Coturnix japonica: one gene and its partners. The main gene of each other region encodes a partner of the protein of the gene in region 4 in a complex. Links are inferred from orthologs where the notes say so. Each region holds a gene or a part of one and is shown on either strand. Other genes may lie near its edges. The genes, in order: RILPL2, RAB3IP, RAB3IL1 and RAB8A.

Region 1 (5,649 bases), on a different chromosome or scaffold from region 4:
ATGTATATTAGTACACTTCCATTGTAGGCTCCCTAAATAAGAACAAGCAAAACTTTATATAAAACATTTATTTTTTTTTCACAAGTAATGTCTGAAAGGAATCCAACAATGCAAAACGTGTACGTATGTCAAACGGTTGCTAAAATAGCAAAGTAAAGCCTATTCTGAAAGAATATTGTACAACAATTCTGAGATTGCTTATTCTCTACAGTAAGAGTGACTCTTTGTTTTCCAGTTCTTGACTCCTCACTCCTTCAGCTGCTTTTGCTGTGGCCATTTCTGCCCAGAAGTGGCTAAGTTTTCAAGAATACTCATTTTCCATGTTTAAAAGAGAACCTGCAAAAGAAAAATACAAATGGAAAAGAAGGACCATGTGGTGTGAGTGCCATCTCAGTGTGTTCTGCTTTAAGGAACTTTAAGGACATGACCTGAGCTTGTGGTACTGCGCACAGCTGCCTGCATGCAGTGTAAACAAGCCTGTGGGAACAGCTATCGTGAGTGTTAACGTGCAGACGGGTCCCAAGTTGCAAAGTTTTGTTCTGATTCTGGCTCTTTGTAGGAAAAAAGTGTCACCCTGCTTCTCTAGGTGAAGCTTGCTTTCCTGTGGAGTGCTTGTTGAACAGAAAAGGACTTCTCTGTCATATTTGAATTTTATAGAGAGGAGAAAAAGATCCAGCCAAGTAGGCCAGAGTTCAGAATTCACCCCTGGGTTTGCACGCACAGTGTGTCCTTCTCTCATGCTCTGCTAAAACAACAACAACGAAGCAGACAGACTTACAGCCGTTTGATGATTGTCTTCTCATGGCTGTTCTTGCTGGTGCCTGAGCTGCTGCCACAGGGTTCCTGCTCCAGTTCTCTAGTTTGGTCCTTTCTCTGTGAGATGATCCCACTGGTAAGAGAAGTGGATTTTGTTTGTTTTTGCTCCTTATGTAACTAGCTTAGCACAGCATTGCTGTCCTGTTCAGCAGACAGTCTGGGATGTGAGATAAGGTGGCTATTGGCTTATCACGTAACTCTGTATAACAAACAAACTCCATAGAATTACCTGAACCCTAAAGCAGCATTTACATGTTGTCTTGGTACAAAGCTCTGGCTCATTAACAGCATATTTTCAGCTTTTCAATCAATTTTTAACTTGGCCTGTAGTAAGGGGTGTATCACAGATGAGAAATCAAAGACAAGAAGCCATTCCAATGGTTGCACAGCAAAGGTAGTGGGCCAGGATGGGGAAGCTGGTGCCTCACTGCTATGTGAGAACTGCAGCTGTGCAGACAGTCTGTAAGCTGACTGCTTGGATTTAACTTTAACTTCGCCTTAACCCATTACAAACAAGGCAAAGGGCAGCATTAGTGAGTCTAAGAGTTTGTTACTCTGTTACCTCAGATGAAATGTTTAGTTTTTAAACCTTGTGAGTCTAGATGAAAAAATAATATATTGCTCCAAGGACCTTATAATACAGCCAGAATGATGAGGGGCAGAGGTGGGTGAGGAAAACAGCCTTGGAGGTGAAGCAGTTTGTAGCACAAAAGGAAGACCCTGAATCTCATCTTCTCCCAACCTGCTCCTTTCTAGAAAGACTGAGGTTCTGCTCTGAAGAAACCAACTCAGCACAGAGCTGTGCAGGGTGTTCTACCTGCTGCCATTCTTAAAAGAAAACAACACAGAAATGAATAAAACCCCCCAGCTTCTCTTCAGTGATAGCAAAAGAGCTTAACAATCTGCTTTCTACAGTAATGCCATACACGTGCTGGGGGACAAGGAACAGTGGATGTGCTTGCAGACCCCCATTTGCACTCAAAGGAAATTTACTTCCTCTGACTTGCTACTAAAACAGAATGGAAACCCCCACGATCTTCCGGTAAGTGGCGTGGTTTGAGGCAGGAGCAGTGTGTGCAACTGCTCTAACTGTGCAGGTTAATGTCTGTGCATGAGAACTCAGCTTGTATATATGGAGTTTCGGAAACCATGTGTAGGATTTCAGGAGGGCAGTTACCACAACTGCACTGAGTAAGGGGGAGTTCAGTTTTAACACTGTTGCACAGAAGCTTTGCTGTTCCCACATCTTTCTTTGCTCACTTGTAGGCTCTCATGAGCAGAGATGTCTTTTCCTCTAGGGATGAACAGCACCCAGCCCAATTTAGGTGCTCACACCTGCAATACCATCATCTGATAAGCTCCCCAGGAAGAAGTAAATGCTGCTTGTTCTTTGCTGACTATGCTATATACCTTTTGTAGCACTGCAGCTCCTCTTGCACCACGAGGAGCTGAGCTTTCAGCTGGTTACGTTCCTGCAGCACATCTCGCAGCTCCTGTAATGTGAACCGAGGGCGATTTGGATCCGTGAGGTCTATCACCATTTTATCTGGTCCCAAGTTGGGCTGTAAGAGAAATAGTAGGAGATGTGATCTTGTAACCCATCAAAACAGGACGAGAGGTAATGGCTTCAAGTTGCACGAGGGGAGATTTGGGTCGGGTATTAGGAGAAATTTCTTGTCCCAGAGGGCGGTCAGTGCAGGCACAGCTGCATGGGGAGGTGCTGGGGTCACCAACCCTGTGGGGATGTGGTTGGTGGGCACGGTGTGATGTGCTGGAGTTGGTGATCTCTGTGGTTTTTACCAACCTTAATGATCCTGTGTAAACCAGGCCGCTCCATAAGTTAGGAACTCGGAATGTTATAAACCCACAGCTACCGTTATAACGAGCATCTCTCCCTCGTCATCCCGCTTTGTTTCCCGAGCAGTTCGTTGTTATTTCACGCTGTTTGTTCCCCTATCTCAGCAGGGTGCCCTCCTACCGGCCAAGTCCCGTTCCCAAGAGCCGTATCCCCATCTCCGCACCCACCTGCTGGCCGCTCCCCGCCGCTCCGCTGCCCCTCACCGCCTCCAGCTCTGCCCGCAGGTTGTCCCGCTCCATCCGCAGCTGCTCCTCGCTCAGGCTGCTCTCGCTCACCAGCGCCTCCAGCATCTCCAGCACCCTCACCATGCTGAACTGCAGCCGCGATACGGCGGCGGGCACCTCGGGGCCGGCGCTGAGCTGCAGCAGATCCCGGCCCACTACAGAGGAGATGTCGTACACATCCTCAGCCGTCAGCTGGAACGGGCTCTTCTGCAGCGCGCTCTCGGGGCCGCCATCGTCCTCTCCATCCTCCTCCTCGTCCTCCCCGCCGCGCTGCATGGCGACAGGCGGCCCGTTACCAACTTCCTTCCCCAGGGCCGGGCCCCGCGGGCGGAGCGAACCCCGCGGGTTCCCATGGAGGAGCCGCTCCGCCCTTCGGCTCCACACGGCGGTGCCGCCTTGGGCCCGCCCCGGAACCGCCTTCAGGCTCGGGCGGGACGCGAGTATGTCCGCCGGTCCTACGAGCTGCAGCAAAGCGGTGTGAGACCGGGGGGAGCGGCTGAAGGGAACGCGGCCTCCACCGGGTTAGTGTCGGCTGCCGGGACAGGGCCCCGCTGCGAGGAGAGGTGAGGGGGGAACGGGGCGGAACGGGGCCCTGCAGGCGGGGCGGCTCCGCTGTCTGTGAGGGCCCGGCCGGGCCCGAGATCCCGAGCGGCTGTGAGGCTGAGGCAGACCCGGCGCTCGTTCTGAAGGGCTTTTGTAAGGATCGCTGCGCTCTGGAAGCGCTTCAGCCCTGCCTGCTTTCCCTGCTTTCCCTGCTTTCCTTTCTAAGATGCCAGCCATGAGCTGTGTTTAATTCGATTTCTTTTCCCGCTAGCAATGACCGATTGGGCGCCCATAGCGAAGGAGTATGACCCCCTCAAAGCGGGGAGCATCGATGGCACGGATGAGGAGCCCCATGACCGTGCCATCTGGAGGGCCATGCTGGCGCGTTACGTCCCCAACAAGGGTGTGACGGGAGATCCACACCTCACCCTGTTCGTAGCGAGGCTCAATCTTCAGACAACAGAGGAGAAATTAAAGGAGGTCTTTTCCCGGTATGGAGACATCAGGAAGATCCGTCTGGTTCGAGACTTGGTCACAGGGTTTTCCAAGGGTTACGCGTTTATCGAGTACAAAGAGGAACGTGCTCTGCTGAAGGCCCACAGAGATGCCAACAGGCTGGTTATCGATCAGCACGAGGTCTTCGTAGATTTTGAACTGGAAAGGACTCTCAAAGGATGGATTCCTCGGAGGCTTGGAGGTGGTTTTGGAGGCAAAAAAGAATCTGGGCAGCTGCGGTTTGGAGGACGGGACAGACCTTTCCGGAAACCCATTAATTTACCAAATGTGAAAAATGATTTCTATGGAGAAGGCTCAGCAGAGAAAAGAAACTGGTCTCGAGAGGGAACGAGGGACTGGAGAACAAGAGACCGAGAGCATGAAAGGAGCAGAGAGAAGAGAGGGCCAGAAAGAGAGCGGTCGTGGGGTTGGGGTGACAGTGAAAGAGACTCAAAAGAGGAGAGGAGCAGAGGGAGAGAGAGAAAGGACAGAGACAGAAAGGACAGAGATAGAGACCGGAGCAGGGAAAGAGATGCCAGGAAGCAAAGAGATGATGATAAGTATCGATAGCTGGCAGCACCTTAAGGGAATGATGGGAAGTTTGGGTATGGTGACTACTCTTTTGTGTCTCTAGAGTAGCATGAGACACATAGAACTGCCTGTACTGCTGGCTGGGGGCACAACTCTGCTGTTATGGTGAATGAACTGCTATGGAGGAGGTGATGCAGCAGGTTCTGGCATCTGCAGTGTGGAAAAAGCTGTGTCTTCTGGAGGACGTGGACGTGACTCAGTTGTAGATGTCACCTTCAGCAGGGGGCTGTGAACTGCATTCCCCAGACAAGCAGCATTCGTGTTACTGTCTTGTGCCTTTGACTTTTATCTGCTAGAAGCTCTGTAGCGTGGGTCATAGCGCAGGTATCTTTTGTTGAATTGTTCTTAAGAGAAATTAAACTTTTCTGTTCATGTTTTAAAGTGGTGAAAAAGAAATGCACGTGTTACCATCCCCTCAAAATCAAGCACTCGCCTCATTTGCTGTTCATTTTGCTGCTGGGATCAGTGTTTGTGAGAGAGCTCCATATTTAATTCTTTGTGTGCCAGATGCCCACTCATTTTGTGAGACAGATGCCCTTTATGAAGTCACTTCATGAAGAAATAGGAATGAAATGACAGCGACAAACTAGACTTGAAGAAATACTCGTTTCTCAGAAATATTTATTAAACTGTTAAAATGATTTACTGCCCAAAACAAACAGAACACAAAAAAAACCCCATAACAACTTCAGTGATCCTGCACTCTGGACACAGGATTGTTTCTGCCTTTCATCCTGCCTTCCTTTTTAAAAGCAGATTTTAGCTAAATAGTGAGAAACTACATGATGGGTCTTCAACCCTTTCCATACTCATCCCTATGTGCCATCTTTTCTGATGGCACTTTGTATTAACTCGGTGTTTCTAACATGAGAACGAGGAGCGGAGTGGTTAATGCTAGCGGGAGGAACTAATTAGATTTCTGAGGTAATGGGCTACAGAGATAAATAGGGGAAGGTTGTACTGCTTAGTGCCATTGTTTGATGTTGGCTGCAGATTTGACCCAACAATAGTGAGCAGGGCTCTAGTGTGTGGGAGCAGCTTTACATGCACATGGTCATTAATGCATGAGCTTAAATGCTGGGGGAAAACAGCTCAGCCTGGCTCTTTCTGTTGTCTCATTCA
Region 2 (5,652 bases), on a different chromosome or scaffold from region 4:
TCTCCTTGTATAAGAAGAAGCTCAGGGGCTCCATTTAAGCTCCCAGGTCACCAGGATTTGCTGGTGCATTGTTTTGGGTTGCCTTAACTAAACAGCCTTCCCTGGCTGTTACCACCTTGGTAAAATACCTTGAGAGGTATTTCTGGGGGGGGGGGGGAATTTACTCTTCCTTTTTCTGTCTCTGGATTTAATGAAAATGGTTTCAGCTTTTCATTTTAACCACAGTTTCTGTAGTTTGATGCTGTCTGACTACATACAGCATAATACAGGAATGCCCTGACAAAATAAATCTGTTGGTGATTAATTTTAGTGCAGTCAAATGTCTTTGGAAGAGTATTGCTTTTATTTCTTGAAATGCAAGATGTCTAATCTGGTTAAGACAGCAGATCGTCATGCCAAGTACAGTCATGTACAGGATTAAGAACTATAGGATTACAGACCCTAATTATAGACTCTTGTCCATTTACTATGTCTTAATACATTGTTTTCAACTTCTGATTACACTTGTCACGGTCTCCTTTGCAATCCTGTTTTAATGAACTTCCTGCTACATCTTCTAATTAGGCAGACCTGTGTTCTGATAGCACCGCGTGGGTTCTATTGCATGGCAATATTAGAAAATTAAATCATTTTAAAGGTTGGAGCTCTTCAAGCTGAAAATCCCCATTCTATGAGGTTTTTTGCAACAACCTTCAGGTTATACTGCTATTCGAGTACTCTGCTCTTTGCACTGCTGTTTTCCAGTTACATCCAGATAAGCTGTGGGTGATGATTCTCTGAAGACCATTTTTGCTGTCTGAGCCCCTTGTGTAGATTTACACACTGAAAAGTGGTTTGGAATATATTACCGTTTATGGTTAATAAATCTACTTTGTGATGAATGTCATCAGTGTTCCTCTTTTGACGCTGTCTTTCTCATCTCGTCATCTCATTTTGCCCTAAGTGAAGATTTTACTTGTTGGATACAGTAGTTAATGCATCGCAGAGAATATGATTTGTCTGAGGCTGTGTCCTGCAGGACTGGTCAAACAGGATTCTTTCACATTCAGTAGAAGGCTGTCAAGCCAATTAACATTTCAATTATTGAAAAGAACGCGGCCTGGATTCTTGACTGATGATTGGGACAAGACCTTGTTTACATGCATTTTTTGCTTGAGTTTCTCATCACTGAGACACATGTTTCAGTTCAGCTGTACTAACTACGATCAAAGCACAGAGTGAAACAGATACTGCTGTTACATGAAACACTTATGGGTGAACTACATGGGGTGTTCTGAAAGTAATGCCTCCTATTTTATTATGTTGGCTCATGATGCCACAGGTGGATGTTGGTGGTACAGCAGTAGAGGTCAAACCTTCTCACTAATATCCCATTTCATGTTGTTGCCGTGTGACAGATGGCAGCAGAAGGGCAATCTGACAGAATGGCATCTGGCATGGAAGTGCAGATTGATCAAAGGTGTGTCATTATATTCCTCCGTGTGAGGAAAATGGCGCCCACTGACATTCATCGATGCTTGCTGAATGCTTATGGAGACCAAAGAGTTGATGTGAGGATGGTGAGGCAGTGGATGGCACGCAGGCTCTTGTTACTCAATGAACAGCTAATGGTGGTGACTGCTCAAAAATAGTGTGTTGTCGCTGAGAAACTGCTTTACCAAACAGTGTTATCGTACTCTTTGCACTGGTGGTACTATGTATGGAAATAAATAGGAGGCATTGCTTTTGGAGCAAAATGGTGTCTTATTTATACCAGCTTTCCAACACTTTGCCTACTGCTTTTAAATGTATAGAAAGCATCATCTGGAGGGTGCCTGGCTGAGGAGCACAGAGACGCCGATGGCTCCTTCCTCAAGTTGTGGGGCCGTCTCCTCACGAAGCGCCCCTCACTATTCGCACCAATCCCCTCAGCGCGGCACTAAACCGCGCTCAAGGCGCTCGGCCATGGCGGTGTGAGGGCGCTGCCTCTCATTTGACGCCATCTCCCCCCTTGGAGGCCGCCTCCACCATCACGAATCCAGCCCGGCGGAGGGCGAGCACCTACTCCCCTCCCAGCGGGCGGGGCGGCGGCGGGGAGCATGCGTGAGGGCGGCCCAGCGCCCGCCCCCCATGTTGGCCGAGGGACGCGGTGCGGCGGCGGCCGTTGGGGCTGGCGGGGCGCAGGTACCGGGAGTGGGGGGACGGAGGGTGTGTGGTGGGGGCTGAGGGCTGAGTTTGTTGCGCCGTGTGGGGGGAAGCTGAGCTTGCGGCGTTCAGACCGGCCGTGCCATCGCCGGCTCTTTTAGCAGGCAGATGTGGGCTCGTTCCGTGTAGGAGCCCGCACTGGCGGCTGCCATCTGTTCGGTGTTTGCGTTCCTCGGTGACACGCAAAGCCCGCTGCTGTAGTAATGTTATTATTGTTGTCAGAGCAGCTCAGCGAGGGGGCTCGGGCCAGGCCTGCCGTGCCTCTGCCTTGCAGCCGATCCGCTGCCCTTGGTTCGTGTTACCGAGCGAGCCCGGCCAGCGAAGAGCCATCAATAATTCACCGCTCTCGTTATGCTTTTAATAAATAACAAAGGCGTGCGCACCCCCAGCTGCGGCGGAGGCACCGGAGCCTGTGCAGGACGGGGTCACGGCTGGAGAAATGCGTGGAAAATACCACGGGAGCCGATCTTCCTTCTGCTTGATGGGTTTTCCCAGGGAATAAACGTGTGCTTGAGGTGTTTGTTTTATTTTTAATACTGTTCTCAGAGCGTTGTCTGCGGTAAATGGACTTGAAGTTGTGTTAGACTCCGTAGTTATGGTTGGTAATGTGAAATGATAGATTAGCTCGGGTTGGAAGGGCTCATATCGCTCACCTGGTTCAGGCTAGATGCACACACATCTAGAAAGCTTTAACGTACTTCAACGTGTGGTCGCTTTTATTGATTAAATATTTTCAGCGCTAACTGGAGATGAGTTTGTCTTTAGCCAAAGTCTTAGCACGAGTTACGTTGCTGTGGCGGTGTGACCCAGAGCCAAGCTGAGCTGTGCTATGAGACTCCTCCCCAGGTAAGGCAGAACCGTGCTGTGCCTTCAGAGCAACGTCTGGGAAGGGAATACTATATCACTGCGTTTAGAGAGGCTTTGTCAGCGGAACGCTGTACTTTGAATGTCTACAGTAAGTTCTGAGGGATTCTACTTCACAGAGTGCTGATCTTTCTCTGGAGTAAGACCTATACTGTGTAGCAGACTCTAAGCCTTATTTATTTGTAAGTTTCACAAGGGCTTTATAAATGCGTCTCTGAATCTTGTGTGCTACTTCTACCCTCCCGTAAGAGGGGCAGTGGTGGTTGGTTGGCAATAGACTAAAGACTGGAAGAAGACTGCGTTGTAGTGTGATATCACCAAACATGGGGGGGATAAGATAGAAAAGCATCATATCCAAGCAGTTTTTCCTCTTCTTTTTCCTTTTTTATAGGTCTTGAATTCTGCAGACTTGCCTGTTTCTTTATTGTCTGCTGGTAAATATATCATCTAGTGTCACTCACAAATGAAAGCTGTTTGATGGCAGTTTACGAGGGTGGATAGTGATAGGACAAGGGGGAATAGTTTTAAACTGAGTCAGGGGAGGTTTAGGTTGGATATTAGGAGGAAGTTTTTCCACACGGAGGTGAAGAAAAACTAGAGGTGATGCACTGGCACAGGTTGCCCAAGGAGGTTGTGGATGCCCCATCCCTGCAGGCATTCAAGGCCAGGCTGGATGTGGCTCTGGGCAGCCTGGTCTGCTGGTTGGCGACCCTGCACATAGCAGGGGGTTGAAACGGGATGATCATTGTGGTCCTTTTCAACCCAGGCCATTCTGTGATTCTATGAAAAGCAGTAACAACACTGGAAGAGTCAGTAGTTTCTCTTGTATCTTCCTGCCCTCCAAGTGACTTGTTGCAAATTGTTTCCCTGAGTGAAAAGTTCTGCAAAACATTCTCATTTTTATGATTATGGCAAACTTGAAGGGAATTCCTGAGTCAAATCTGGAGCTGTCAGTGCAGTGGGCTGCATTGGTAACCATGTTTAAATTTGCTTCTTGTGGCTGGGCAGAAATAGAAAACACTTTAGCCCTGGGGGGAAAAAAAAATCACCAAACCTCTTTATTGAGTATCTGCATCTGATGAACATCTCATATACTGTGTTGATTTGCTTATCTGAGCCTTGAATTCATGTGAGCCTTACAAACAGTGCTGGGTATGGAGTTGCAGTAATCGGACTGCTTCTTTAACAGCTATGTGTTTGTCAGTCCACTACTGTATTTCCCCGTTGAGTTCTTTAGGGCTTAAAGCATCTCACATTCCAGGCTGTATAAATGCCAAACATTTCAAAACCCACTGAGAAGAATGCAGGCCTTATGGTGGGCAAATGCCAGTCCTGAGGAACCGGTACAAAAAATCAACTTGTCTGTCCTGCTCCCCCTCCAAATGGAAGCAGGCTCCAGAGTCTAATAAATGAAGCCTTTGAGATTTCATTATCCCCACACAGAAGGCCTTTCTAAATATTAAAACCCTACAGGTAATATGCACATATTTCGCTAAATGCCAACTAGAATTTTCTTGTCATCAGTGACTCCTTAAGCTTGTTTTTTTCCCCTCCTGTTTCCTTGAGCAGGTAACAGTTCTGTTGTGCTCTTGACTATTAAAGCTCAAAAATGAGCTGTTTGAGGTATAAAATGTTGGAAAGCAATGCGACCAGCAAATGGCTTTTCCAGCAATTAGGAGTTTGCTTTCAAATACCAACAGACTGAAATGACAGCTTTGAGCAGACCCTAAAAGAGAAACTCCAGAGCCTACAGCAGGCAGTCTTAAACAGAAGTACTGAAGAAGACTTTCCTCACAGAATCTCAGAATTGTAGGGGTTGGAAGGGACCTCTAGAGATCATCGAGTCCAACCCCCCTGCCAAAGCAGGCTCCCTACACCACGTCACACAGGTAGGTGTCCAGGCGGGTCTTGAATATCTCCAGAGAAGGAGACTCCACCACCTCCTTGGGCATACTCCTCTGTGATAAGTTACTGCTCTGTGGTGTTAACTGCTCTGACTTGGACCCCTTCTGAAAGCTTAATGAAGTGTTTTAACTTGGCTTTTCACAGCGTTCACAGCTCTTGGTTCCTGTTAGAAATGATAAGAACATGTTGAACTGTTGTTTAACTGGTTTCTTTGTAATCACTTTTAATAAATCTTAGATAAAGTAACAGATTAGTGCGTGGTTCCTTTGGGAAGTTATTTGGGTCAGCAGAGAGGTAGGAAGAAGGGGCAAAGTTCTGACAGCGTACCCCAAATTTGCATTATTTTCAGGTAACAATATAAGGAAATTAACATGCTGTAGTTTCATACTGGTTTGTGGCAATTACTTGATTTGTGTACGTCATCTGGATTACATACTGTCATCTAAAATGAAAATGGCCACATTGAGTAGACACAAATGCTATTCTAACCTTTCACTATATATTAATCTAACAAAAGTACAAAGGATATTCATGATTTTATTTATTTGATAAGTGTGCTGCCCTGAAATGTGTCGGGATATCGGCTGTTGTTCGCAGTAGCAGTGAGACACAGCACTGTGTCAACACTGGCTTTTACACGCTGTCGGCACAGCTCCTGGTGAACGCCCCTGCTTGCTGTGCACGTCATTGTGTGCCTTC
Region 3 (5,669 bases), on a different chromosome or scaffold from region 4:
TGCTCAGTGGACTGGCTGTCATCCCCACAGCCTGCATCCTGGCATCCAGTCTCTGGCTCCTCCTTGCTGCCTTTGGATGGCTTTAGTGGTTTCCAGTATCCCACAGCTGGTTGCTCCTGGCTGTCTTCCTCAAAATGGGTCTGGCTGTAGGGAACCGGCACAGTGAAACTGTGTGTGGGGGTGATCAGCAAACCTGCCAGGCTCAGAAACAGCCTCAGAGGCAACAGCAAGACAAACCAGCCTGGGTTCACCCAACATTTCAGGGAGGCTGAGGGGTACCGTACTGAACAGGACATTCAGTAGTGAGCTGTGCTGCACCTTCAGGCTCCCAAGAGCACAGGAGTGAAGCAGGCAGGTTGAAGGCATACAAAGAAACTGGCTTAGAGGACCTCTTTTGTGTCCCAGAGCTGCACCAGCTCCTTTGCCTGCTGGCTGGGCTTGCCTGCCCTCAGCAGAATTTCTAAGGATAAATCCTTGTCAAACAAACCATCTTCTTGCAGCCAGTTCTTCAAACAGAGATTGAGAGAGCTGAGAAATGTAACTGGAATAAGCTGCTCATGCACAAATACTGTTACAAGCATGGTTAAACAAGCCGCTCACCAGATTCCTCGTACTGCCCTCTCTTAAATACAAGCCAAGGCCAGGAAAAATATTTGTCAGATTCATTTGCTGCAGGCGTGAGCATCAAACAAATCAGAACAAATGAAGATGGGGAACACTCATCTGTGAGTTTCAGCCCTGAAGTCCCTCATAGCTCAGACAGACCCTAAGCAAACACTGAAGGCAGAACAGACATACAAAATTCACAGCCTGGCCATTTCTCTTCTCTTCCTTCTTAAAAGATCCCAGATATACACACAGATATTGCTTCCCTACTGGATTACTTCGCGCTTTTGACATGAATTCCTTTCAGAACAGCAACAGAGAGGAGACAGTGACCCAAAGCAATGAGTTGGGAGGAAATCTCTGCTATCCTGGGATCTTCAATAATCGCACCAAGTACAGTGTGAGATGCCTGCACTCCTGGCAAGAAGGGCTTGTTTCTCAACAGCAAAGTACTGCCTCACAGACAACTCTCTACACACAAAACATAAGTAGGCAAAGTTATAACACCTCGTTTTACCCTTCCCAAACAGAACATCTCAGACATTTAACTCAGGACAAAGCAAGACTAAACACAGCTATTCCAGGAGTGCCGTTCTTGAGCATTTTCAGAGAAAAACAGACCACAGCTGGCTTATTTAGTATTCCAGCAAACACTCCATCGGCCTAAGTTCAGGGACGCTGCTCCCCAAACCACAGGAGGAGCAAAGAAAAAAAACAGTACAGCTTTGACATTCCATAGCAATACAAAGACCGTGACCCCCTTCACTTCAGATCCAGACTTCAACCCCACAGGGCAGGAAGAGGCTGGGTAGGTTTTGCAGCTGCTGGTGTGTTACAAGAGGAAAACACATGCCTGAATGCCTGTCCACGTGGCAGAAAGTGTGGTCTGCCAGCTGTCTTCTCCTGCAAAGAAGTTCAGGTACCACAGGGAGTGGTGTGAATGCGCACTAAGAGAAACCTCTTTGAGCCATGGGATGAGAAAGGGTACAGGACCATCCACGATGCCATGCCATGCAAACTGGACAGAACTGGGAAGGGGCAGCATGCAGTCAGTGTCATAGATTTTGCCAGTCTCTTTATAGAATAAGTAAGAGAGCTTAAGCAGTGCTGGAAGGGAGGAAAGGATTCAGAAGGAACGGTTGACTTGACCTGGTCTTACTAGGTCTAGAAGGAGCTTGTTCTGGTGATAAATGCTATTAGGAAGTATAATAAATAACATAAAGGAGCACGCTGGGGAGGGAAAACGACAGACAGCACTGCCATGCAAAGATAATTAATCTGAAGCTACTCAGCACGCTGGAGCTGCCGATAAAAATGCCATATACACACACGGATGCATAGATCTGAGTGAGCAACTTGTAACCAGTGGAAACTCCCAGACCACGCCAGCACTTACTCTTGTAAGTGCAAGAGAGAGCACTTATGGTGCACACTGCATGGTGTTCAGACAGCACAGCACTGGCTGTAGTCAAGCTGTTCTCTGGACACATTCAGGGAATCAGTGAAAGGTCAAGATGAGCTAAGGCAGCACTTACCTAACGAGGGCCATTGCTATGGAACGAGGAGGTCTCCAAGGGCCCCACTCAGGAAGGGGAGGTATCGAGCAAAGGAACGACCCAATGGAAAGGAACGAAGCCCATCACGGGAAGGTGGAGACTCGATGAAACCAATTCATCCTCGCCGCACGAAGCCAGGGGAGGTTCTCTGCGATGGATCTGCCACGAAGCAGGGAGAGCGTTCCAAACAGAGGCGTTCGTTCAATAGTTAAACCAAATCTCGGATGGCCCCGCGGAATCCCTCCCTGCAGAGATCAGACAGGCAAACTGCAGCGAGCGCACGGCTCGGGGACTCCCGCATTAGCCAGGAAGCTCCCTAGGACGGCCAGAAGGGGACAAGAAACAGAGCAGAAAGGGAAAACCGAAATCAGGACCAAACAGATGCGAAAGAAAGAGACGAGAGAAAGGGACACCACAACAGCCCGCTTAGCTACTAAGAGTCCAGCTATTCGCATGGAATAGGAAGGGAAAAAAGAGATAAGAGCCGTTTCCTCGTGACTCGAGCTCTCGGAGGAAAGTTATCAGTACAGGAGAGCGCTGCGCTGCTGCATCGGGAGGGACGGCAGGAAGGCACGGAGCGAGCCGACGGCACCCGACGGAGCGGTGCACCTGCGCTCTGCCCCGATGGGCTGCGCTGCTCGGGAACCGGGCCGGGTCCTACCCGTCCTCCAGGCGCGAGAAAAGGGCAAAGGAGAACCGAAAAAAAAAAGCAATTAAAAAGGAAGGCAAGCAAAAAAAGCCGAGCACAGCACAAACTGCCCAAGTTGGATTCCGCAGAAAAAGCCAAACAAAAAAAGTGCAGGCTCGGCAGTTTTGCAGCTTCCTGCCGCTCCGACCCCGCAGTTTCCTGCGGCTCCGTGCACGGCCGTTCCCTGCGGGCTGCTGCCCGTCCCGCACCGGGAGCGGCGGCTGACAGCGCTGCGTGGCGCCCCGCAGCACGCACGGACGCGGCGCGTCTCTACCCGGGCGGCCCCGCAGCGACCCACGGCCGGAGCCGCCGCCCGCACACCTACCCCGCTTCGTGCCCCCGGCGCATCACGGCGGCGGAGGGGACGGAGAAGCAGCGCCCGCCACCGCCATTCCCGCAGCACGCCCGGCTCCGCGGGGCCGCCCCGACGGGAGGGGGCAGAGCGAGGCGCCACGTGATTAAAGCGCGGCCCCGCGGATGCGCGTGCGCGCTGCCGTCAGCACGCCGTGATTTGGGGGGGGTACCGCCCCATAGGGGGGCTGTGGGATGAGTATCTGATGCTGCCCTGTCCTTTAATACCCCCAGGGACCGTGACCGCACCACTCCCTGCGCAGCCCGTGCCACCGCATCGCCGCTCTTCCCGTCAATCAATGCTTCCTAATATCCAACCTGGACCTCCCCTGGCACAGCTGGAGGCCATTCCCTTATATTACAGCCCAGTCCCATCTGGTCCGTAATCATCTGAGGTGCCAGAGCAAAGTGTCTGAGGTGGCCACATCCGTGGCTGTAACCTTTGTTACCTGCTGGGAGCTTTTGTGAGGAAGGGGAGATCCGCAGCTCTGCAGGCAGCACCAGAACTAATCAGTTGTAATGATTAACTCCCAGCATGGAGGGTCCTCGGGTTAGAAAGGCAGAATTGCTTCCAGAGTCCAAAAGGCAGCAAGAGAATGTTTCCAGCCGGGTTGTCTGATGGAGGGCTGGAAGGCTGTAGATGCTGAAAAGCAGGAGTAGGGCCCTGACCCAGCAAACTCAGAGCGGATGTTATTGCAAGAGTGTAACACTCCAGGATCCATCCGCCCACTCGCTCCCCTCCCTCCAGCCATGCAGCATGTTTGCTCAACTGGTGAGGAGGGCTCCAGCAAGGCTCCTCTGGGATCTCTGGGGCTAAGATCTCCAGTTTCACAGACGAGATCTGCCTTAAGCACCAAACAAACTGCTGCCCATTTCCCAGGGCAACAGGGAGGAAAAGGAGAATGAAAAAGCAGAGAAAGAAGAGCAACAAGGCTTGTGTCTGGGGGTAGCAGAGCTGTGTTGCTCAGGCAGATGCAGCCTGGCACAGTCCTGCTGTGGCACTGGAAGCACTGCTGACCCCTGCCAGATCTCGGCTGCTGCTCCCTGCTGACAGCAGTGTTTTTTGGAAGAGCTCAGCCTGAGCCCAGAGGAAGAGACATTGAGACAGGAAAAAGAAGAGCAGCTGGGAAACCTGGAAAGAAAGGACTGTCCAAACAGTACATGGTCCTCAAAGACAGCAATTAGCACACACTGAGCACCCTCAGCCTGTCCTGAGTTCCATGGGTCCCGAATGAGATGGATTTTTGCCACAAATCCTGCATTGTAAAGGTGAGAGGCCTGAGGTTCTTCACAAAAGCACTGATGGTCACTGCATCCTCTCCAAAGGCTCACGGCAAGCTCAAACATCAGAGTCAGTCTTGTCTATAAAAACAGCAATTCCTCAGATACTCTCATATTTTGGTGTTTTTTTTCTACATCACACTCCGAGGAAGAGTGTTAGTTTGAAAAAATAAAACCCATCAGCATCTATCTTGGCACTGAAAGCAGAGATGGGAGAGGGGTTTCACTGGGCTTTGACACCCGTGGTGTCCTGAGAAAAGCACTTGTTCTCTGTCAGACTGCAGGGAGGGCTCTGTCCCCTTCCCGGAGGCAGCTGCAGCAAATGAATTTCAGTCAGCACAGGGGGAGGGATTCATTTCCCGTCACAGTAACCCAATCTGCACATCTGCAAAATGGAGAAAATGGGAAGGATTCCAGGGCCTGCAAGGACAGTGGGAAGGCAGCGAGACTGAGGATGGACGTCAGTGCATCCTTGCTCCTCCTCTGCTGCTTTCAGACTGGCAGTTTGCTTCAGGCCTGGAAGAACTGAGGCCTCGGGGAATGCAGAAAGTGATCCAAGTATTGCTGCCACACTGGTAGTCCCTCAGTTATTTACTTTCCTATTAGATGCCACGGATGTTTGGTGCTGTCCTAACAGTAACTCTGAGCCATATGAACTGCTGGATGAGCTGCTTTCAGAGGAGGGCAGCAGAGTCCCCCAGATAGGGACATATCCCTCCATCAAGAGCTGGATGCTCAAGATTTTGCTGTTCCTCCTTAGAGTCCCCACGATCACAGAAAATCCCCACAGTTCCAGAAAATCTATCAAGAGAACCATTTTTGTTCTTGCCATGTAAAAGGACATGGACTCAGGCACTGGGGCCCTCTAGAACTATCTCTGTCTGCCTGCCTAGTAATCCCTTCTCTCTAGATGTGTATGCAAAGTGGTATCTCAAAGACATGTGTCCTCCCCAGACCCTGACCCTTCATGTGGACAACCCTGCCTCCAGAGAGAGCCCAATCCTGTGCTCTCTCATGTCTTCCCCCATACATGGAACTCTTTGGGTGTTTAGAGACATTTTCATCATCCTGAGTCATTCAGGGACCCTGCTGGGATGACAGCACTATGATTCTTGCTATAAAAATCCTTTGGGAGCAGCTGGAACCCAGCAGCAGTGTTTCAGGGACCTTGCAGCAAGCTCAGCCCC
Region 4 (5,675 bases):
GAAGTGTAAGTAGCTTCACACAGCTGGGGGACTCGAGTGGGCATTAAAACATTGCATGGGGAAAATCCACTCATAGGGAAGCACGTGCTGTGCCTGGCAGTGGCATTGTGCCCCATGCGCCCAAATTCATGCCTTCAAACTTTTTACGGTATCTTTTTAGACTTCTTGAAAGTAAAATTAAGCCCCAGCAGTGGTGACTCCTACTATTTTATTTTATTTTTTTTCCCTATAGGAAATGTAGTGACCTCGAAGAGGAGTTGAAGAATGTCACCAACAATCTGAAGTCTCTGGAGGCTCAGGCTGAGAAGGTTGGTTCTTTCAGTAACTTTCAGATTTCACTATGGGATGGGCACAAAGTCAAAACCCGTAATTGAAGTGCACAGAAATACTGCAGAAATAAAAAGAAATTAAGAGGGGTGTCCTGCCTTCCTGTTCCAAGAGCCCATTGATAGTGCTGAGCAGTTTCTCTTTGCACATTCAGCTGTTTTGTGCTGCATGAGAAAATAAAGTCTAAGTTGATGCACAAAGTTATTTGGACATCACCATCGGAGTGATGGTACCCAAATCAGTCTGAGGTGTCTCAGGGAAGAGAGAACAAAGTGTGGGCAGCTGTTGTAGAAAGGAAAGCAGTTGTAAATAAATCCTGTTTCCATAAACATCCATTGCTGTCACAAGTGCCCTTCAGCAGTGTGTTTTGTTTCCACAGTACTCGGAAAAGGAAGATAAGTATGAAGAAGAAATCAAGATTCTTTCTGACAAGCTCAAAGAAGTGAGTCCGTCCCTCCCCACGCTGCTTTTTGGCGGTGTTTTTTAACAGCGCTCAGTTATTCTATTTAATATTCCTAGGCTGAAACTCGTGCTGAGTTTGCTGAGAGAACGGTTGCCAAACTGGAAAAGTCCATTGATGATCTGGAAGGTACGAAATTACACATTCCTTTTCAAATGGGTTTTGTATTCTGCTGGGGAAGGACAGCCAGGTGCCGGCTGTCCGGGCGGGCCGTGCAGGGCTGGTGCTGCCTCATGGCCAGGGAAGAATTGCTCTGGAAGGGGTTCTCTATCAAATCCTTGTGAACAATGAACTTTTGTTGGGCCAGCTCACAAGCTTAGAATCGTAAGACCCATTTCAATCAGTAACAAAGTCGTGATGCTCTTTAGCCCGATGGCTGAGAAATAACTGAGATCTGTAGATGAAGTGTCTGACGTGGCAGCTGCCCATATTTCTGTATTTCTGCTTCCGCACTGCTGCTCCATCATAGCTCTGTTTTCTTTTGTATCCCCCTCCAACTGCTCTGGTTGCTGCCTTCTGCCTGTCCTCGTGCCCTCTGCTGTCCGCCTCTCCCCCTGCGCTGTTCTCTGTGCCTCTGCCTGGTAGATGAGCTGTATGCTCAGAAACTGAAGTACAAAGCAATCAGCGAGGAGCTGGACCACGCGCTCAATGACATGACCTCCCTGTAGTCTGCACCTCTCGGTGCTCCGTTTGCTGTATCTCTTATGCTCTTCTTGCCTGTAATTCCTTCTGTGCTAAAAGCGATCCATCCTTCAGCCTGCTCTGTAAGAACTGCGCTCAATAAAGATCAGATGCCTTTACCTGTCCGCTTTGGGGCTTTGTTTCCTTATCAGTACTGACGCTGTAAGTACCGCTCGGTGCTCAGCGGGGGGCGCCGGGCAGCTCCGAAAAACCGGAGCAACCGCAAACCCGACAGCGCTGTTGTTTCCGGCGCATCGGGCGGTGTTTGTACGGCACAGCAGCGCAGCACTGTCCGCTTTACGCCTTTTTTTTGCTCCCTTCCTCCAGACAAACTCGCTCAAGCGAAGGAGGAGAACCTGGGGCTGCACCAGACGCTGGACCAGACACTAAACGAACTGAACTGTATATGACCCGGGGAACGCCGCGGCCGGAAGACGAAACCCGCCCTCATCGCGTCACCGCTGCGCTCTGCCGCCGCTCGTCCCGGTTCCGCTCATCCCGGACGTGGCGTCGCGCATTAAACGTGTTACACGTGTTCCGCCATTCCCGCCGCTCCGCTCCTTGCGCCGCGCCGCCTCTCGGTGACGTCACGAGCCGACAGGCCACGTGACGCTGCCCGCGCGCCCCGTCCCCTCCCTCCGGCTTCTACTCGCGCGGAGACGGGCGCCTTCCGCTCGCGGCCGGAAGTGACGTTGCGCCGGGAGCGCGCGGCCAATCGCGGTGCCGCTTACGTCGCGAGCGGAGTCCAATGGCGCGGCGGCTCGAGGTCCCGCCCACCGGGTCGGCGGTGACGTAACGCTCCGCTCGGCCAATCGCCGCGCTGCGGGCCGTGATGGGCGGCGGGCGCGGCCTGTGAGGCGGCGCGGGGGGCGGGCGGTGCCGCAGGGGCGGCGCCCGGGAACATGGCGAAGACGTACGACTACCTGTTCAAGCTGCTGCTCATCGGCGACTCGGGCGTGGGCAAGACCTGCGTGCTCTTCCGCTTCTCCGAGGATGCGTTCAACGCCACCTTCATCTCCACCATCGGTGCGCGGGGCGGCCGGGGCTGCACACAGCGCGGGGGGCGCTGCGGGCCGGGACGGGGCTGTGCCGTGCCGTGCCGTGCCGCGCCGCGGTGCCGTCGGGCCGTGCGGTGCCGTAGTGCAGTGCAGTGTGGTGCCGTCGGTCGGTGCGGTGCTGTCTGTGTGGCGGTGCTGTCTGTGTGGCGGTGCTGTCGGGCGGTGCGTTGCGGGCCTTGTCGCTGCGCTCGGTTCGGGTCCGATCCCGCGGGGCGCTGCGGGCGCTGAGCCGCGGTTCCGTCCCGGCCGTGGGGACGCTGTGCGGCACAGTCTGGTCGGGGGGAAGCGGAGGGAAAAGCGTTGGTTTGTCCTCTGTAGAAGTTAAATGTAATGAGTTGTTTGTCGTTGCAGGCATTGACTTTAAGATCAGGACTATAGAGCTCGATGGCAAGAGGATCAAGCTGCAGATATGGTGAGGCTCGTTGATGCAGTCGGTGCTGCAGTGCAGTGCTGTTACTTTGTGTGCAGTTGTGCTCTTCAGCGGTATCATTAAACTAAAGCAGTTTTAGTGCACGTGAAGACCAACGTGTGACATGAATGTCTGACAGCATTAAGGTGGGAGGTGTGTGACCCCTCGTTCCATCTGTTGCAGGGACACCGCCGGGCAGGAGCGATTCCGCACCATCACGACGGCGTACTACAGGGGAGCCATGGTAGGAGCGCGGCGCAGGGCGGTTCGGCTCCCAGCAGAGCAGTATCAGAGCAGCCTGCAGTGCTGCAGGCACAGCTGCCTGGACTTGGCTGAGCGCCGGCGCTGTGCTGGGTGCTGGGAGGGCCCGGGGCAGACGGCTGCAGTGACTCACTGAGCTCACACCCCATCATTGCATCTGGCAACACGCGCTGACGTTCCGGGTTGTGCTGAAACAGCTCTTCTTTATCAGTCCTTAAGGCACTCCTTTCTGTTACAGACAGGTTTAACTGTTGCATATATGATCATAGCCAAAACAAGTATCTCTCCTTCCTCCTCAGGGCATTATGTTGGTCTATGACATCACCAATGAAAAGTCTTTTGAAAATATTCGGAACTGGGTCAGGAACATTGAAGAGGTAACTTCTCTTTACTTGACATTCAAGGTGCTGTTTCTCCCTCCAAAAGCAGTTGGAAATTAAATGCTTCAGTAACACTTCTTTCAAATTTAGAGTGGGTAGAAAATAGATTAAATGAAAGTCAGGGAATGCTGTGGGTAACAAATTTGCAGTGTGTGCTTTTGATTTGATTTTCCTGGCACAGAGCTGATGGTTCACAGGGCGCTCACAGAGCAGTCGGTGCCTGCAGTGCAGTGCTGGGATCAGGTGCTGTGCAGGAGCTCAGAAACCTACAGAGTGCTCAGCACCCATGTATCCATTTGAAGTTCTTGATGGAAACCTCGTCATTTGGCAGTATTTGTAAGACATAAACACAGTCCTTTCTTTCCTCTGTTCCTATCTCAGCATGCCTCTCCGGACGTTGAAAAAATGATCCTTGGGAACAAATGTGATGCAAATGACAAAAGACAAGTTTCTAGAGAGCAAGGGGAGAAGGTAAGTGTCACGGGCTGCGCCCAGATGCTGAAGGTGAAGGCAGTACGTAGAAGTCAGTGCTCCCTGGGGTGATCAGTGTCTGCAGAGCCTGCTGAGCTCCTTCCTGCCAGCACTGATGCAAAGTGCAGTTGCTGCCTGAGCAGAAGCAGCCTGTGCTGCAGTGTAACAGCAGCGCTCATCGTTGTGTGTGCCTCCTCAGTGGAACTTCTGAGTGCAGCTACCGAACGCTTCCCAAGCTGTAGCTGCAGTCCAACAAAAAGATGAGTCTGTTCAGAATGCAGCTGGGTTACCTGGTTGAGATGTTAGATGCGGAGTAACTGAGTTCTCAGCCAAAGAAAGAAAATCATTTAGGAATGGCTGCTTTTGTCATACACAGGTAGGCAGGGTTGTTGTTTCTGGCATCGGATGTCAGTTAAAGTAGAGAATGTACTTTTATGTACCACAGACGTTACAGAACTGACAAGGTATCTGTTAGAAATAGATGTATGTATTTAAAGACAAAGGAGCAGACAAAAATGTGTGTTTTGTTCTATGAAAAAGAAGAACAAAGTCCAGTAAGAACAGATGCTGATAGCAATGCAGCTCAGTTCCTGGTTTGTGGAGGAGATCCCGCGCTGTCTGTTATGTTTATGGCTGTTCCTGCAGCCACCCGACTAACACAGAACCTGCTTTTGTTCAGCTTGCAGCGAGTTTTGGAATTAAATTCATGGAGACCAGTGCAAAAGCAAATATAAACATAGAGAATGTAAGTACTGCGACCTTTCTCTTGTATTTATTGTCTTATAACGCGTGAAGATAAGCTGTAAGAACAGTTGCCCATCCTGACTGAGTGCAGAACTCAACTGCTGATACTTCATATGGGCTGTTACAGTCAGAAGGGCAGATTATTGTTAAACAAAGCTGTTAAGATTGTGTTTTATTAACTGTATTTCTTATTACAGGCATTTTTCACTCTTGCCAGAGACATCAAAGCAAAAATGGACAAGAAGTTGGTAAGTGACTTCTACTTAGGCTAAGCTTTGTTTAAATGGAGGATTAACACCAAGAGCTGCATCGCAGTGAATGGTCTCCCGTGGTCTCCGCCTGGAATGCACTGAAGGTCACAGAGATTTGTTTTTAGGTTCAGAACTGTGTTCTGCTCACAGCATGGAAACCATTGGGTCTGTGTTTCAGGATTCAGCTGCAGTTGTTGATGTTCTCTGAACAGTTTTCCTGTGTGTTGTTTAGAAAGCCATGCGAGTGGTAGAGGGGAGCTGCTTTGCGATATTTCTTGCTCCTGCAGTCTGGAGAAGTGAACTGTATAAGTTTTGAGTGTCTGCTTCATACTCTATTGGCTTCATTTCATGAAGAAAATCAGATTGTTTCTACTTTACTGGTACCCTGAAGTATGCAGCACAAACCAAACATATCCTGCAGTTTTTCTGGCCTCTGCTGTCTTTGGTTTGATGGAAAGGAGAGCCGGCTCTGTACTTGTTGGTCAAAGGCAGAAGTAGGATGTGCAGCTCTCTGACTTTTCACAGAGGCTGATGCAATTGAAGTCTTAAAGAAATGAGTGAAAGCTCCTGCTGATTTTTAGTAATGCTTTTTGTACGATTACAGATTTGATCCGACAGAATGTATAGATGAAT

What was found.
Region 1: the proteins of RAB8A (region 4) and RILPL2 are in contact, whole or in part, in a crystal structure (PDB 6SQ2), measured with the Homo sapiens proteins. The link is inferred for Coturnix japonica from reciprocal best matches to the Homo sapiens genes RAB8A and RILPL2. Residues at the interface, in NP_005361.2 of Homo sapiens: Ile41, Gly42, Ile43, Asp44, Phe45, Lys46, Ile47, Lys58, Trp62, Phe70, Ile73, Tyr77; in NP_659495.1 of Homo sapiens: Leu135, Leu138, Arg139, Leu142, Gln143, Arg145, Asn146, Lys149, Ser150, Leu153, Glu157.
Region 2: the proteins of RAB8A (region 4) and RAB3IP are in contact, whole or in part, in a crystal structure (PDB 4LHX), measured with the Homo sapiens proteins. The link is inferred for Coturnix japonica from reciprocal best matches to the Homo sapiens genes RAB8A and RAB3IP. Residues at the interface, in NP_005361.2 of Homo sapiens: Lys10, Phe33, Ser35, Thr36, Phe37, Ile43, Asp44, Phe45, Lys46, Ile47, Trp62, Ile73, Ala76, Tyr77, Arg79, Gly80; in NP_783322.1 of Homo sapiens: Ser199, Arg202, Asp203, Gly206, Leu209, Glu210, Thr213, Ala214, Phe217, Glu218, Ala220, His221, Val224, Asn228.
Region 3: the proteins of RAB8A (region 4) and RAB3IL1 are in contact, whole or in part, in a crystal structure (PDB 4LI0), measured with the Homo sapiens proteins. The link is inferred for Coturnix japonica from reciprocal best matches to the Homo sapiens genes RAB8A and RAB3IL1. Residues at the interface, in NP_005361.2 of Homo sapiens: Lys10, Phe33, Ser35, Phe37, Ile43, Asp44, Phe45, Lys46, Ile47, Gln60, Trp62, Thr72, Ile73, Thr75, Ala76, Tyr77, Arg79; in NP_037533.2 of Homo sapiens: Arg104, Glu108, Leu111, Glu112, Thr115, Ala116, Phe119, Glu120, Ala122, His123, Arg127.

What each region holds. Positions count from the first base shown.
Region 1 is NC_029530.1:4,242,432-4,248,080, reverse strand, and holds RILPL2 (RILP-like protein 2), read right to left. Parts: upstream 3,286-5,649; 5' UTR 3,175-3,285; coding exon 2,842-3,174; intron 2,379-2,841; coding exon 2,227-2,378; intron 890-2,226; coding exon 779-889; intron 337-778; coding exon 312-336; 3' UTR 53-311; downstream 1-52. Other genes in the region: SNRNP35 (U11/U12 small nuclear ribonucleoprotein 35 kDa protein), read left to right, coding at 3,715-4,506. UniProt on the Homo sapiens protein: Involved in cell shape and neuronal morphogenesis, positively regulating the establishment and maintenance of dendritic spines. Plays a role in cellular protein transport, including protein transport away from primary cilia.
Region 2 is NC_029516.1:32,253,465-32,259,116, forward strand, and holds the start of RAB3IP (rab-3A-interacting protein), read left to right. Parts: upstream 1-2,050; 5' UTR 2,051-2,163; intron 2,164-5,652. UniProt on the Homo sapiens protein: Guanine nucleotide exchange factor (GEF) which may activate RAB8A and RAB8B. Promotes the exchange of GDP to GTP, converting inactive GDP-bound Rab proteins into their active GTP-bound form.
Region 3 is NC_029520.1:7,928,106-7,933,774, reverse strand, and holds the start of RAB3IL1 (guanine nucleotide exchange factor for Rab-3A), read right to left. Parts: upstream 3,320-5,669; 5' UTR 3,176-3,319; intron 2,408-3,175; exon of another isoform or gene 2,322-2,407; 5' UTR 2,156-2,321; coding exon 2,142-2,155; intron 145-2,141; coding exon 1-144. UniProt on the Homo sapiens protein: Guanine nucleotide exchange factor (GEF) which may activate RAB3A, a GTPase that regulates synaptic vesicle exocytosis. Promotes the exchange of GDP to GTP, converting inactive GDP-bound Rab proteins into their active GTP-bound form.
Region 4 is NC_029543.1:3,482,729-3,488,403, reverse strand, and holds the start of RAB8A (ras-related protein Rab-8A), read left to right. Parts: upstream 1-2,140; 5' UTR 2,141-2,370; coding exon 2,371-2,494; intron 2,495-2,877; coding exon 2,878-2,938; intron 2,939-3,118; coding exon 3,119-3,179; intron 3,180-3,495; coding exon 3,496-3,573; intron 3,574-3,957; coding exon 3,958-4,047; intron 4,048-4,726; coding exon 4,727-4,792; intron 4,793-4,988; coding exon 4,989-5,039; intron 5,040-5,675. Other genes in the region: TPM4 (tropomyosin alpha-4 chain), read left to right, coding at 1-5, 233-308, 707-769, 847-916, 1,373-1,455. UniProt on the Homo sapiens protein: The small GTPases Rab are key regulators of intracellular membrane trafficking, from the formation of transport vesicles to their fusion with membranes.